Neurospora crassa OR74A: one gene and its partners. The protein of the gene in region 3 purifies or fractionates together with the protein of the main gene of each other region. This does not show direct contact. Links are inferred from orthologs where the notes say so. Each region holds a gene or a part of one and is shown on either strand. Other genes may lie near its edges. The genes, in order: NCU01675, NCU09475 and rbg-40.

What was found.
Region 1: the proteins of rbg-40 (region 3) and NCU01675 purify together in Saccharomyces cerevisiae (affinity purification with mass spectrometry; 4 studies listed by BioGRID). This does not show direct contact. The link is inferred for Neurospora crassa OR74A from reciprocal best matches to the Saccharomyces cerevisiae genes RIO2 and RRP12.
Region 2: the proteins of rbg-40 (region 3) and NCU09475 purify together in Saccharomyces cerevisiae (affinity purification with western blotting; 8 studies listed by BioGRID, with this or other methods). This does not show direct contact. The link is inferred for Neurospora crassa OR74A from reciprocal best matches to the Saccharomyces cerevisiae genes RIO2 and RPS5.

Annotation. Positions count from the first base shown.
Region 1 is NC_026502.1:2,739,601-2,743,347, forward strand, and holds the start of NCU01675 (90S preribosome component RRP12), read right to left. Parts: upstream 2,831-3,747; 5' UTR 2,735-2,830; coding exon 2,663-2,734; intron 2,521-2,662; coding exon 1-2,520. Other genes in the region: NCU01674 (alpha-soluble NSF attachment protein), read right to left, coding at 3,248-3,662, 3,736-3,747. UniProt on the Saccharomyces cerevisiae protein: In association with GSP1, required for nuclear export of both pre-40S and pre-60S ribosomal subunits. Required for the late maturation of the 18S and 5.8S rRNA of the pre-40S ribosomes and for maturation of the 25S and 5.8S rRNA of the pre-60S ribosomes.
Region 2 is NC_026502.1:4,399,262-4,403,008, forward strand, and holds NCU09475 (40S ribosomal protein S5), read right to left. Parts: upstream 2,320-3,747; 5' UTR 2,112-2,319; coding exon 2,018-2,111; intron 1,953-2,017; coding exon 1,907-1,952; intron 1,639-1,906; coding exon 1,455-1,638; intron 1,380-1,454; coding exon 1,062-1,379; 3' UTR 430-1,061; downstream 1-429. Other genes in the region: NCU09474 (acetyltransferase), read left to right, coding at 1-288; NCU09476 (40S ribosomal protein S25), read left to right, coding at 2,598-2,655, 2,810-3,019, 3,114-3,139. UniProt on the Saccharomyces cerevisiae protein: Component of the ribosome, a large ribonucleoprotein complex responsible for the synthesis of proteins in the cell.
Region 3 is NC_026504.1:2,085,314-2,089,060, forward strand, and holds rbg-40 (serine/threonine-protein kinase RIO2), read right to left. Parts: upstream 2,292-3,747; 5' UTR 2,128-2,291; coding exon 844-2,127; 3' UTR 596-843; downstream 1-595. Other genes in the region: NCU07723 (norsolorinic acid reductase), read left to right, coding at 1-553; rpn-1 (26S proteasome regulatory subunit rpn1), read left to right, coding at 2,971-3,100, 3,173-3,243, 3,310-3,747. UniProt on the Saccharomyces cerevisiae protein: Required for the final endonucleolytic cleavage of 20S pre-rRNA at site D in the cytoplasm, converting it into the mature 18S rRNA. Involved in normal export of the pre-40S particles from the nucleus to the cytoplasm.

The DNA of each region.
Region 1 (3,747 bases), on a different chromosome or scaffold from region 3:
GCCAGCCAAACCGGCACTGACCATGGTGAAGAACTCCTCAATAGAGGCGGTAGCCGCAGGAGCATCCGCGGGCATGTGAGGGACCTTGCTGTTATCGATCAAAGAGCCCTGAGCAGAAACCATCTTCTGGCCAAGGAGAACCAGAAGGTCGAAGGCGGTAGTGCGAGCCTTCTCGTTGTGCTCCTTGCAGCCAATGACAACCTCTGAAAGAATGGAGGGAATGAAGTGCAGGGAATCGTTGGGGATGAAGTGAATCAGAGCAGCAATGGCAGCCAGGCGCTCTCTCCGGGCAGGTGCCGACACCTTCTCAGAGCTGGACAGGAACAGGGTTTGGAGCTCGCCATGTCTCTCCTCGAGGGCGGCCTTGCCGATGGGGGAATCCGCCAAGCGAGGAATGAGCTTGTAAGCCTTCTTCTGCAGCTGAGGGTCATCATCCTTGAAGATGACCACTGAAGCGATCTTAAAAAGAGCCTCGAAGCTGGCACGGGGGAGGTAGATAGACATGGTAACGACCAGGTCCATGAGAGTGTGCGCGGCAGAAGGCATGTGATCGGCCTTCTGCTGTTGTTGGGGCTTCTTCTCAACAGCCTCTTGAAGAGCCTCGGCGAGCTTCTCGCACACCATGTCGAAAGTCTCGGTAAGACGCGCGGGAGGGATGATGCTGAGGTAGGCGTTGATGGTCTGGAGGACAGGGCCGCGCTTCTGGGGGAGAGTGGTGCTGTAGACGTTGAAGAGAACAGCGAGGAAATCAGCTGCAAAGGTGGCTCCGAGGTACTCCAAGTTCTTCTGCGCCTGCTCCTTGCTGACCCTGCCAAAGAGAATGAGGTCATCGACCTCATCGGAAGTGGCGATGGCCTGGTTGGACTCAACAACGGTCCTGAGGGCGCGACAAATATCCAAGCGCAGGTCAACCTGCTCATACAAAAGGTTGGTCAACATCTCAGCGAAGCCTGTGTCAAAGGCCTCGACAAGATCAAGTGGAAGGTCGCAGTAGCCGGGAAGAATCGACCAAATTTGCTGAACAACAGTCTCGAAAATCTTGATGTGAATGTTCTTCTCGCCCTGGTGCTCAATCACACGCTGGAACATGATAGCACTGAGAGGAACCAATTCGCTCTTGAAGTGTGCAAGATTGGTGTTGGAGGTGTAGTCACGGAGAAGAGGAAGCATCCAAGCTCTGCCAGGCTGACCCTTGACGGGCTTCGCGAGGTTCAGGGGAAGAACATTCAAGACCGCCTCAGGACCCATTGCACGAATCGCCTTGCCAAGGACCTCGTCGGCTTCCTGCTTTCCAGCGAAAGAATCGTTACCGCGGATTTCGCCGATGCTCTTGACGACGGAAAGGAGGTAAGGGTTAGCCTGCCACCGAAAGGCATCGAACATGGCACCAAGAACGTTGAAAGTCTCCATCCAGGCAGCTTGGTACTGGACGGTGAGAAGGCCCTCGACAACCTTGACTAGTTGCTGAATGACCTTCTCGTCAAAAATCGAAGGCTCAAGGATGGCCTCCTTGGGGACACAGTTGGCCAGGAAGGAGACCAAGCACTCGGACGCCGAAACGCGAATATTCTTGTGCTGGGACTCGAGGTATCCTGCAACCAGAGTGAAAGGATCGACCAGCTCTTGGAAGGTCTCGGCGGGCGAAATCTGACCGGCAACATCGTAGGCTCTCGACAGAATGGCGATCCAGGGAGGGAGAAGCTGGGTATCGTTGGGCGCGGGACGGAGCTCTCTGATGATCTCGAGCAGCCGAGGAAGCTTGGCGGAGGCAACCTCGTCGGCGGCCATGCCCTCGAACATCATCTCGAAGATCTCGAAGACAGCCATGCTCATGTGCTCGTTGCCCGTCCGGGCAATGCTGAGAAGGAGCTCGCACAAAGACTCAATGCTCTTGCTGGGCCAGCCACCGCTTCCAGAGGCGACAGCCTTGACGAGTTGCAAGGCGTGGATAAGCTCGGGATCGTGGGTAGAGTCGGTAGTCTTCTTTTCCTTCCTCTGGGCGGCGGCCTTGTCAGCGACAAGACGGAGGCTCTGCATGGCTGTCTCGGCGCACATGGGGGCGGCGGGGTGGTCGAGAGACGGGCTCGGCGGAGGGTTCTTCAGGATGTTCCTGAGCGCTTCCTGGGCTCTCTTGCGGACTTTGGGACGCGGGTCGAGGGCAAGGGCGAGGAGGCCGGCCACAGCCCGGCGGGGGCCAATCTGGGCGGTACCGAGCTCCCACTGTGTCGCATCTTGAGCAAGGAGCAAGCTCTCGAGAGAGCCGATCGAGGCCCTCATGAGGGGAGCATCGGCATCGGGGAGGGATAGTACTGGCGCGAGGATGGTGATGATCTGAGTGAACTTGGCCTGAAGAATAGGCTTTGGAGCGAAGGGAGTGACGACATCGAGGAGGTAGACGACGGGGGTCGCGAGGTTTTCGTTGTTGAGTAGACTGAGAAGGGCAGCGAAGTAGGCGGTAGGAGTCGCGGGTGTATTGCGCTCCTTGAAGGTGGCCTCGATAGCCTCGAGGACACTGGCAGTCTGTGGCTCAAGTCAGGGTCCATTGTCCACGATGGAGGCGGCCTTGCGACAGGCCACTGCAATGGCAGGCTGGAAGGAAGAGGGTAGGGATGCAGAAGACAAAAGATGGAAAAAGGAGAGATGCATCATGACTCTGGCTTACCTGCTTCTGGCTCTGGAGATTCGGAGACCGAATCTTGTCCAGTTTCTCCTGCAAAGACGGAGAAGAAGCCATCGTGAATGTGATGGAATGGCGCTGGAGTGGGACAATGCAAGCCGCTTCGCAGTGCTGAAATCGATGTCATGAAGAACAGAAAAGTTCGAAAAGTTGTCGCTTATCGGCGCGCACGCCCCACCCGCTGTCATTGATAAGGGTCTGGCGCTAGTCCGAAGCGGCTCCCAACTGTAACTCCAGGGTTAGCTATGGCATCTCATGCTTATAGAGGTACCTATGTTTCGCTTGGGCAGCCATCAAGGTTATGAGATACAACAATTCATGTTGGATCGTACGAACAACGCGTACCCACTAGGAACAAGTTTCTATTGCTTTAAGCCCATCTCTACCCCAGACAGCAGGTTTGTTTGGGTCTTCCGTAAATCACCAAAGCGTCGATGACCGTATTCATGATATGACAGTTCATCCCCCTCCCAACCAGAAAACGCCGGTACGATAACAAAGAAAAGAAAAAGGAAAGAAGGAAACCAGAAAGTGATAAATGGCTGTATATCACAAGTTCCTCCACCCTGTTTATGAAAACTCGTTGTCTGCCTCCTCAAAGTTGTTCTTGATCTGGAGAAGAACAGCCGCCTTCCAGTCATCGAGCCGGCTCATCTTATCGTACGCGGCAAGCTTATCCTGGAACATCTCGAGGTTGTTGTTTGAGGCTGCTTCCAACAAGTCAACCAGGAGTTGGTATTCGCGCTGGCCCGTAAATGATGGGTCCTTCTCGGCATACTTGGTGATGTTACGCTGAGCAGTGACCATATCCTTGGTCGCCAAGGAGCAGAGACCGGCCTTGAGGAAGTACTCCTTGACCGAGTACCTCATCAGGTTGTTGCCGAGTGAAGCCTCCGCAACCTTCTCGAACTTCTCTATAGCGGCGAAAAAGTCGCCCGCGAGGGCAGAGAGGTCGGCCACCTTGAGCCACAGCTTGTTCGCAAGACTACACACAGCTGGTTAGAACGACCTGTTGGACTCGTAACATGGCGCAAAAGCCGTGGGCATTAATCACTTACGCGACAGCACCG
Region 2 (3,747 bases), on a different chromosome or scaffold from region 3:
GGCATCGCAGGCCAGCTGATCAGGCGCGCCTTGGACTGGATGAAAGAGCACCCCAGGTATTTCAGCCCGTCGGTCAAGGAGAGGGGGTTCGAAGCCCTGGGAATCGATCCGGAAAGGGACGCGAGGATGATGCCTAAGTGGCGAGGTCTGTTTTGCGTTCACGCCCAGGTCAGTGCCGTCGGTGCTTGGCAGAGGGCTGGCTTTGTGGTAGATGAAGAGATGGGGAGGTGGTGGGAGGAGGGGATTGAGCATGTTGGCATGTTTTGTCGGGTGGATGCGAGGGCGTAGGGGTATCTGCCGGAGTCGGGGCTGAGGACGAATGGACATTGGGGGATATTGGGCAAAGATGTTGGTGGTTGGTAGTGGTATTTGTGACAGTGTTTCCTTCTTGTTAGCGGGTGTGTGTGACATTGATACCATAAAAAGGGTGATGGGAAGATGGGTCATAAAGGGCTAGAGGAAGTCTTGAGTCGTTAATTCACTTGATGGCAGAAGTACCGCCCTATTGAAACTAATACATGATGAAGTATGAGCAGCTAGACTTCTGTAGCGGTGACGTTAAGCAGGAGCCTGAAGCGGCAGATGACTTACGTCATGTTGTTGGAGCCAGGGAGATTCAGCGAAAATGCTTCCTTGCTATTAGCGCTTGCGATATGTTGTATCATACAAAAAGAGGGTAGGGACGTTAAGTCTGAAAGCAAAAAGGTGTTGGAACTGATGTTCAGTCGTTCACTCATGGTCAAACGGACGTCATGCATGGAAAGAAAAGGGGAATCATAATTTCACCGAATCACCGGCGCCTCGTGGTATATGCACTTAAAATCTTGTCCGCAAATCCACGTTTTCCTCTCATTCAATGTCTGAGAGCCCTTATTGAGTGCCTGCCTGTTTTGACCTAAGTGCCGTAGAAGAACCGCATCCTCCCAGACCCAGTTCCCTTTTAACGCGCAACAAATGCAGCCGTAGTAGCAGCCGAGCAAAACATGCCGAATAGAATCCGTCCAACAACTCCAAGCACCCAACAAGTTTCCCCCATACACCTGCAGCCAGCCAGAACCGCTTTAACGGTTGGACTTGGCAACACGCTCGAGCTCATCCTTCTTCTTGATGGCGTACGAGTTGGAGGAGCCCTTGGCGGCGTTGATCAGCTCCTCAGCAAGGCACTCGGCAATGGACTTGACGTTGCGGAAAGAAGCCTCGCGAGCACCGGTGGTGAGGAGGGCGATGGCCTGGTTGACACGGCGAAGGGGAGAGACATCGACGGCCTGGCGACGGACGGTACCGGCGGAACCGATACGGGTGGAGTCTTCGCGGGGACCGCAGTTGACGATGGCATCGACGGCGATCTGGATGGGGTTCTGGTCGGTCATGAGGTGGATCTAGATATCGTGTGTAAGTGACTGTGTCTGGATAATCGCGTATCGCAGATTATTGCGCATTTCGGGAAGTCTTACGATCTCGAAGGCGTGAGCGACAATGCGGACAGCCATGAGCTTCTTGCCGTTGTTGCGACCGTGCATCATGAGGGAGTTGGTGAGACGCTCAATGATGGGGCAGTTGGCCTTGCGGAAACGCTTGGCGGCATAGCGACCAGCGGAGTGGGGGAGGTAGACGGGAGAACGGATCTGGATGTAGTCGCTGCGTAGATATTGGTCGTTAGCCCTCCGTTCGCGTATGTGTCTTGTATCATCTTTGCGACCAAGATGGATGTTGCCCAAATCCCCCACGTCCTCCAACCGAATTGGCGATCAATCGTAACTCCTAATTTCCAACATTTTCCTGACTCTTTCTTTTCCTTCTCCTTCTCGCGTACATGTCCGTCGGATCGCGTTTTCGTAGCAATCTGAAAGGGCCGTGTTCTTGGTTGTTTTGGTATGTGTGCATCATCTAAACGGGTTGCGCTTACGTCAAAGAGATATCCCTGATCTCGACATCCTCGTAGCTCCAGCGGTCTGAGGTCGCAAAGTTAGCATGACGACGCCCATGTGCACTTTGCGAAGGACCGTAGAAAACATACTGAACAGCTTCACACTGCCAACCTCAGCGAGGACCTCCTTGGGGAGGACCTCGTACTGGGAAACGGCCGCGACGTCAACTTCTCCCTCAGACATTTTGATTGCTGTTCGGTGGCCGGACTGCAGGTAATTGGTGGTGAAGTTGGCCGTGAGTTCGGACAGGATAACGTCGAAAGGGTGGTCGTTCGGCGAGCGGAGAGTGACGGGTCGTCGTGGGAATTTTTTGGTGGCCCCGCCCCAGGTGGTCAAGCCCCAATCTGCCGCTACGAAGCCCCAAAAGACCCAGTTGTGCCCCCAGTTGTGCGGCCCGTGCACCGCCACGCTGGTTGCCGCAAAGGGGGAGCAAAATGGTTAGGGCTCAGTTAACCTAAGCTTGGCCTGGCGCGCACCCGCAGTCACTGGCCGGAGTGTGTGCAGTGTGTGCGTGCGCAGAGACCAGCCCAGCGCCCGAGCCACACTTGCCTGCGCGCCGACCAGAAAAATCTCCCCGCCTTTTCGTTGCGCAGAGGAAAAGACCTTGAAGCCAGGACTGTCTCTCCCTCTCCCCTTCATCCACCAAACCACCAGAACTCATCATTCAAAATGGCTCCCGCCGCGTCTGGTGCTAAGAAGCAGAAGAAGAAGTGGTCCAAGGGCAAGGGTAAGGAGAATCTCTGTCCATTTTTCGGGGTCGTCATTTCCAGCAGATGATGATGGCTTCACGACTGTCGCCGTCATGGCCGTCGTCACTGCCGTGATGGCGCTCCCCGACAACACGAAAAGTTTGGGCCAAATTCACTGACACACACCCACAGTCAAGGACAAGGCCCAGCACGCCGTCATCCTTGACAAGTCCACTTCCGACAAGCTTTACAAGGACGTCCAGTCCTACCGCCTTGTCACCGTCGCCACCCTCGTCGACCGTCTCAAGATCAACGGCTCGCTTGCCCGCCGCTGCCTCAAGGACCTCGAGGAGAAGGGTCAGATCAAGCAGGTTGTTGGACACAGCAAGATGAAGATCTACAGTACGTCTCCCTCGCCCGGTTGAACTGACCGGCGACATTGGATTTCGATCAGAGACATATTCGAGAACAATTAGCTAACACGCGACTTCTACAGCCCGTGCCATTGGCGCTGACGAGTAAATGTCCAAACACCTAGCGATTTTCTTGACATGACGGACCGGCAGACTTGAAAAGGTGGTTCGTCAGCGACAAGAAGGGGTTTGACTTTTTTGATCGGGCTACGTCTCTGGTGGGAATGGTCAATCTTTGCATGCACAATGCACACGGTGTAGCATTTTAGTGGGAGGGGAATCGGGAAGTGCTCCTCAGATTCTTTACACAATCACACTGGGATTATGCATCGATCGGAAGATACGAACGGAACGACCAAGATCACGACAAACGAACGGGGCAGACTCGCCTCCTATCTGCCTGGGAAAGAGCTGTACCCGAGTTCGATGCTTACGTGCAAGCCGTGTGTGTGCGCGCCTAGTCCGATGGGAACGGCCCATGGGCAGTTCTCTATGATACCCCAATCCATGGAAGAGGACAAGAAGGACTAGAGGCGGTAGAATAGGAAACTAATTTACTGCCTCAAAGCAACATCTGAGTTCACACGATATGCCAGTGACGTATGTGAATGATGTATGGACCTATCGATGGCTGGATGGAATTCTCCACGACACTAGTCCAGCCCTATGATGAACAGGTCCCATATCGTGTACACTATGACCGCGCCTGGCCGTTGA
Region 3 (3,747 bases):
ACTTCGGCAGTTCTGCATTTACCAAGGCCGGTGGTCCGCCGCCTCGCGCGACTTTGAGCGGGACATCATTCCCATGTGCCGGGACGAAGGCATGGGGCTCGCGCCCTGGGGGGCCCTCGGGGGCGGCAGCTTCAAATCGGAGGAGCAGCGCCAGCAGCAAGCCAACGAAGGCCGCAAGATCAAGGCGACCGAGGAGCAGATCAAAATCAGCCGGGCTCTGGAGAAGATTGCGCAGCGTAAGAACACAGCCATCACCTCCGTCGCCCTGGCGTACGTGATGCACAAGGCTCCGTACGTGTTCCCGATTGTTGGCGGCCGGTCGGTCGAGCACCTGAAGGGTAACATTGAGGCGCTCACGCTGGCGTTGTCGGACAAGGATATCGACGAGATTGAGAGCGCGGTTCCGTTCGATATTGGGTTTCCTAGCTCATTCTTGTATGGAGAGAAGGTTCCTGCGCACCCCAGTCAGGTTTGGTTGATGGGTATGGCGGGCACATATGATTATGTCCCGGTGCCGAAGCCTATCGTGCCAGCGGCGGAAAATGGTCAGTAGAGCCGACATCGCCGCCAGAGGTCTTTGAAGGTTAGGTGGGAGCAGAAGCTAAAGTATTAGTACGTTTCAATGTGATTCAAGTTGGGCTTTATTCGATTGTGACGTGTGTCAAACTGCTTTTGCGGAGGGTGTCATAATCAACATATGGGTTGCAAAAAAACTGATAAGCGTAAAGTCTTAAAAACCTGCTTGGCACGTCTTAGTACAAATTTGCTTGATAGAAATGCATAGGATTTGGGGGTATCTCAAAGCTGACATGAAACGCGTTTCTTTTCTCCTCTCGATGTGCTTCAAGCCCTTCGCTTGCCGCCCTTGCCGCCAAGTGATAACTTTTCCAGCCCCTTCTCTGCATCTGACAAAGGCCTTCCAACATTTGCCGGAATCTCGAACACGGCGTGTTCCTCTTCCTCTTGTTGATCTTCCTCATCTTCCTCATCATCTGTATCGCTTCCACTATCATCCTCCTCATCCTCGTCCTCGTCCTCGTCGAGTTCTTCTTCCTCCACAGCCTCACCCGCATCAATCTTCGCCTGTTGTTCCTGAATAGCCTTCTCCAGTTCCTTGAGCATCTTCTTGGTAAATCCTGAAGCCTCCACAGTGGCGTCCAACCGCTTAGCTCCATCCTTGCCAACCGTCTTCTTAGCATCCTTGAAGAAAGGACCGGGTTGTGTGGGCACAAAGTGGAAGCGCTTCTTGAAGAACCTCTTGATGCATTCGACATCGCGGTCAAAGTACATCTCGGCGTTTACGTGGTCCATAGACACCATTTGTGGGAAGTCGATAATGACTGGGACAAGGGTTACCGTCTCCGTCTCCTTCTCCTCGCCGTCCTCGATCGTGTACTTGGTGGTCCGCTCCTCTTTGATCAAAATGTTGAACTCGTTGAAATCACCATGGATGAGCCCGTGCTTGGCCAATCGAAGGATGAGGTCGATAAGCTCAGCGTAGAGGCTCGCGGGGTCTGGAACCGAGGAGACCTGTCTAAGTGGTAGGGACTCGACCAGGCTCATGACGATAGTGTGTCGGGACTGGGAAATCGGTTCGGGAACGGGAAAGCCTTCTTCTTGGAGAGCCTGCATGAAGGCATATTCCTTCATGGCCGCAAGCCGCGAGAGATACATCCATGAGCCGCCTTGCCGGTTGCGCAAGTAGTCGCGGTTGGACTTGACGGTACGGAAGGAAATGCGGCCTAGGCGATGGATCTTGAGAATCTTCTGCTTGCCGGTCTTGTCGGCTACGATCATGATGTCGGATTCCTTGCCAACACCCACACGACTGCCAACGCTGTAGACGACATCTTTCGAGGAGTGGGTGTGTAGGGCCAGATAGTCAAGACCGCCGTAGGTCAGTCGGTAGCCGTCGTACTTGGCCTCCTTCATGCGTCCGATGAGGCCAGACTTGGCAAGGGTCGCTATGCTCTTGTGAACACCACTGGCACCGCCCTTGAGACGGGCAATTCTCTCGATCAGAGGGGTCGGGACGAGCTCGTGGTTCTTGCTGCCCATCTCAACGGCAGTCAAGACTCTCCAGTCTTCTGCCGTGAGATGGCGTAAAACTCTGGTGTCCAAAAACATGATTGTGTGTTTCTTTTTGGATGTTTTTTGTTTTTTCCCCTCAGGTGATTGTCGGCCTAATTGCTGTGAGAGATTTTCTGATGTTGTATTGATCCAAGAGAGCTATTAGGTTGCTGTCTACGACGCTCTCGTCAAAGTCAAAGTCAAGGTGGGTGAAGCGCAAAGCTGATGTCCAGAATGGAAAGTGGGCGTCCCCCAAATTCCAAATGCACGGTTGCGATAACATCTTCCCGATAAGATAGGGCTGGCCGTGGGCTCCATTCGCTGAGCTGTGCCTGCCCGGTCAAGCGCCAGGTCCAGGCCAGTAGCTTATCTTATCAGAAGCTTGGGGGGAGCGGAATTTGTATCTTCCAGGCTCTGATGACGCCTCGTCCCCACCGAGGCTTCCAGACCCACTTGAGGCGGGCAGCATTGGATCGCAGGGGCGTTCTCAGCCAGACGGGGGAGCTTCAGGCGGCAAGCGAGTCGCGTAACCACCATCGGAGCTCCCTGGCGTTAGTACCGTAACTGCCACTGACCTTTGCTGGCTTTCAGCAACTGAGGTGCTTCTGGGCGAACCTGCAAAAGCTCCAACCTCCAAAACCGTCACCTGAACAACATAACAACCTCCAAACAACCGCAGCCAGCTCATCCACTTTTGATTTTGACATTCTGCTCACGACTGGAGCTCAAGTTCCTGTCGCTCAAGCAAACTCGGTGACAAAACTTGAACATTTCTTGCAGCAGCGAACGCCACCGCCGCGTCCACCTACCCCGGCCAGCCCAACCGACCTTGGTTTCCCCTCCAACTGGACCCATCGGCTCCGCGAATCCTCCCACCTACAACCATCACGGCCAGTAATCATGGCGCAAGAAAGCGACCTGTCCAAGACGGCCGATAAGGGCAAGGGAAAGGCCGTCGATGACGAGAAGAAGCACCAAGATGTCGATGGAAAGACCCCCGCAAACGGAAAGAAGGAGGAGGAACAGAATGGTGGGTTTCTCGGCCACTCCGACCGACTTGAGGTATCGGCGCCGGGCTTCTGCTGACAGCGCTTTGCGTTAGCTTCCGAGGAACTCAGTGAAGAGGATCAGCAGCTCAAGAGCGAGCTTGAGATGCTCGTTGAGCGGCTAACGGTTGGTGCTTCGCAATGACGTGATACAGGCTGAAGACCGGCTTCTCTAACAGTACAATGTCTTCAGGAATCCGATGCGACCCTCTACAAGCCGGCCCTCGAGGCCATGAAGAACTCTATCAAGACATCCACATCCTCCATGACGGCGGTACCGAAGCCGCTCAAGTTCCTGCGCCCGCATTATGAAACCATGACGAAACTCTACGACGAGTGGCCCGCTGGCGATGATAAGTCATCTCTCGCAGATGTTCTATCGGTGATCGGTATGACATACTCGGACGAGGACCGCCAGGATACTCTGAAATACAGACTTCTTTCCCCAACACAGGACATTGGCTCGTGGGGTCATGAGTACGTTCGCCATCTCGCCCTCGAGATTGGCGAGGTCTACGCCAAGCGCATAGCCAATGATGAGCCGACTCAAGAGCTGGTCGATCTTGCCCTGGTTCTGGTGCCGCTCTTCCTCAAGAGCAACGCTGAAGCCGATGCCGTCGATCTGATGAGT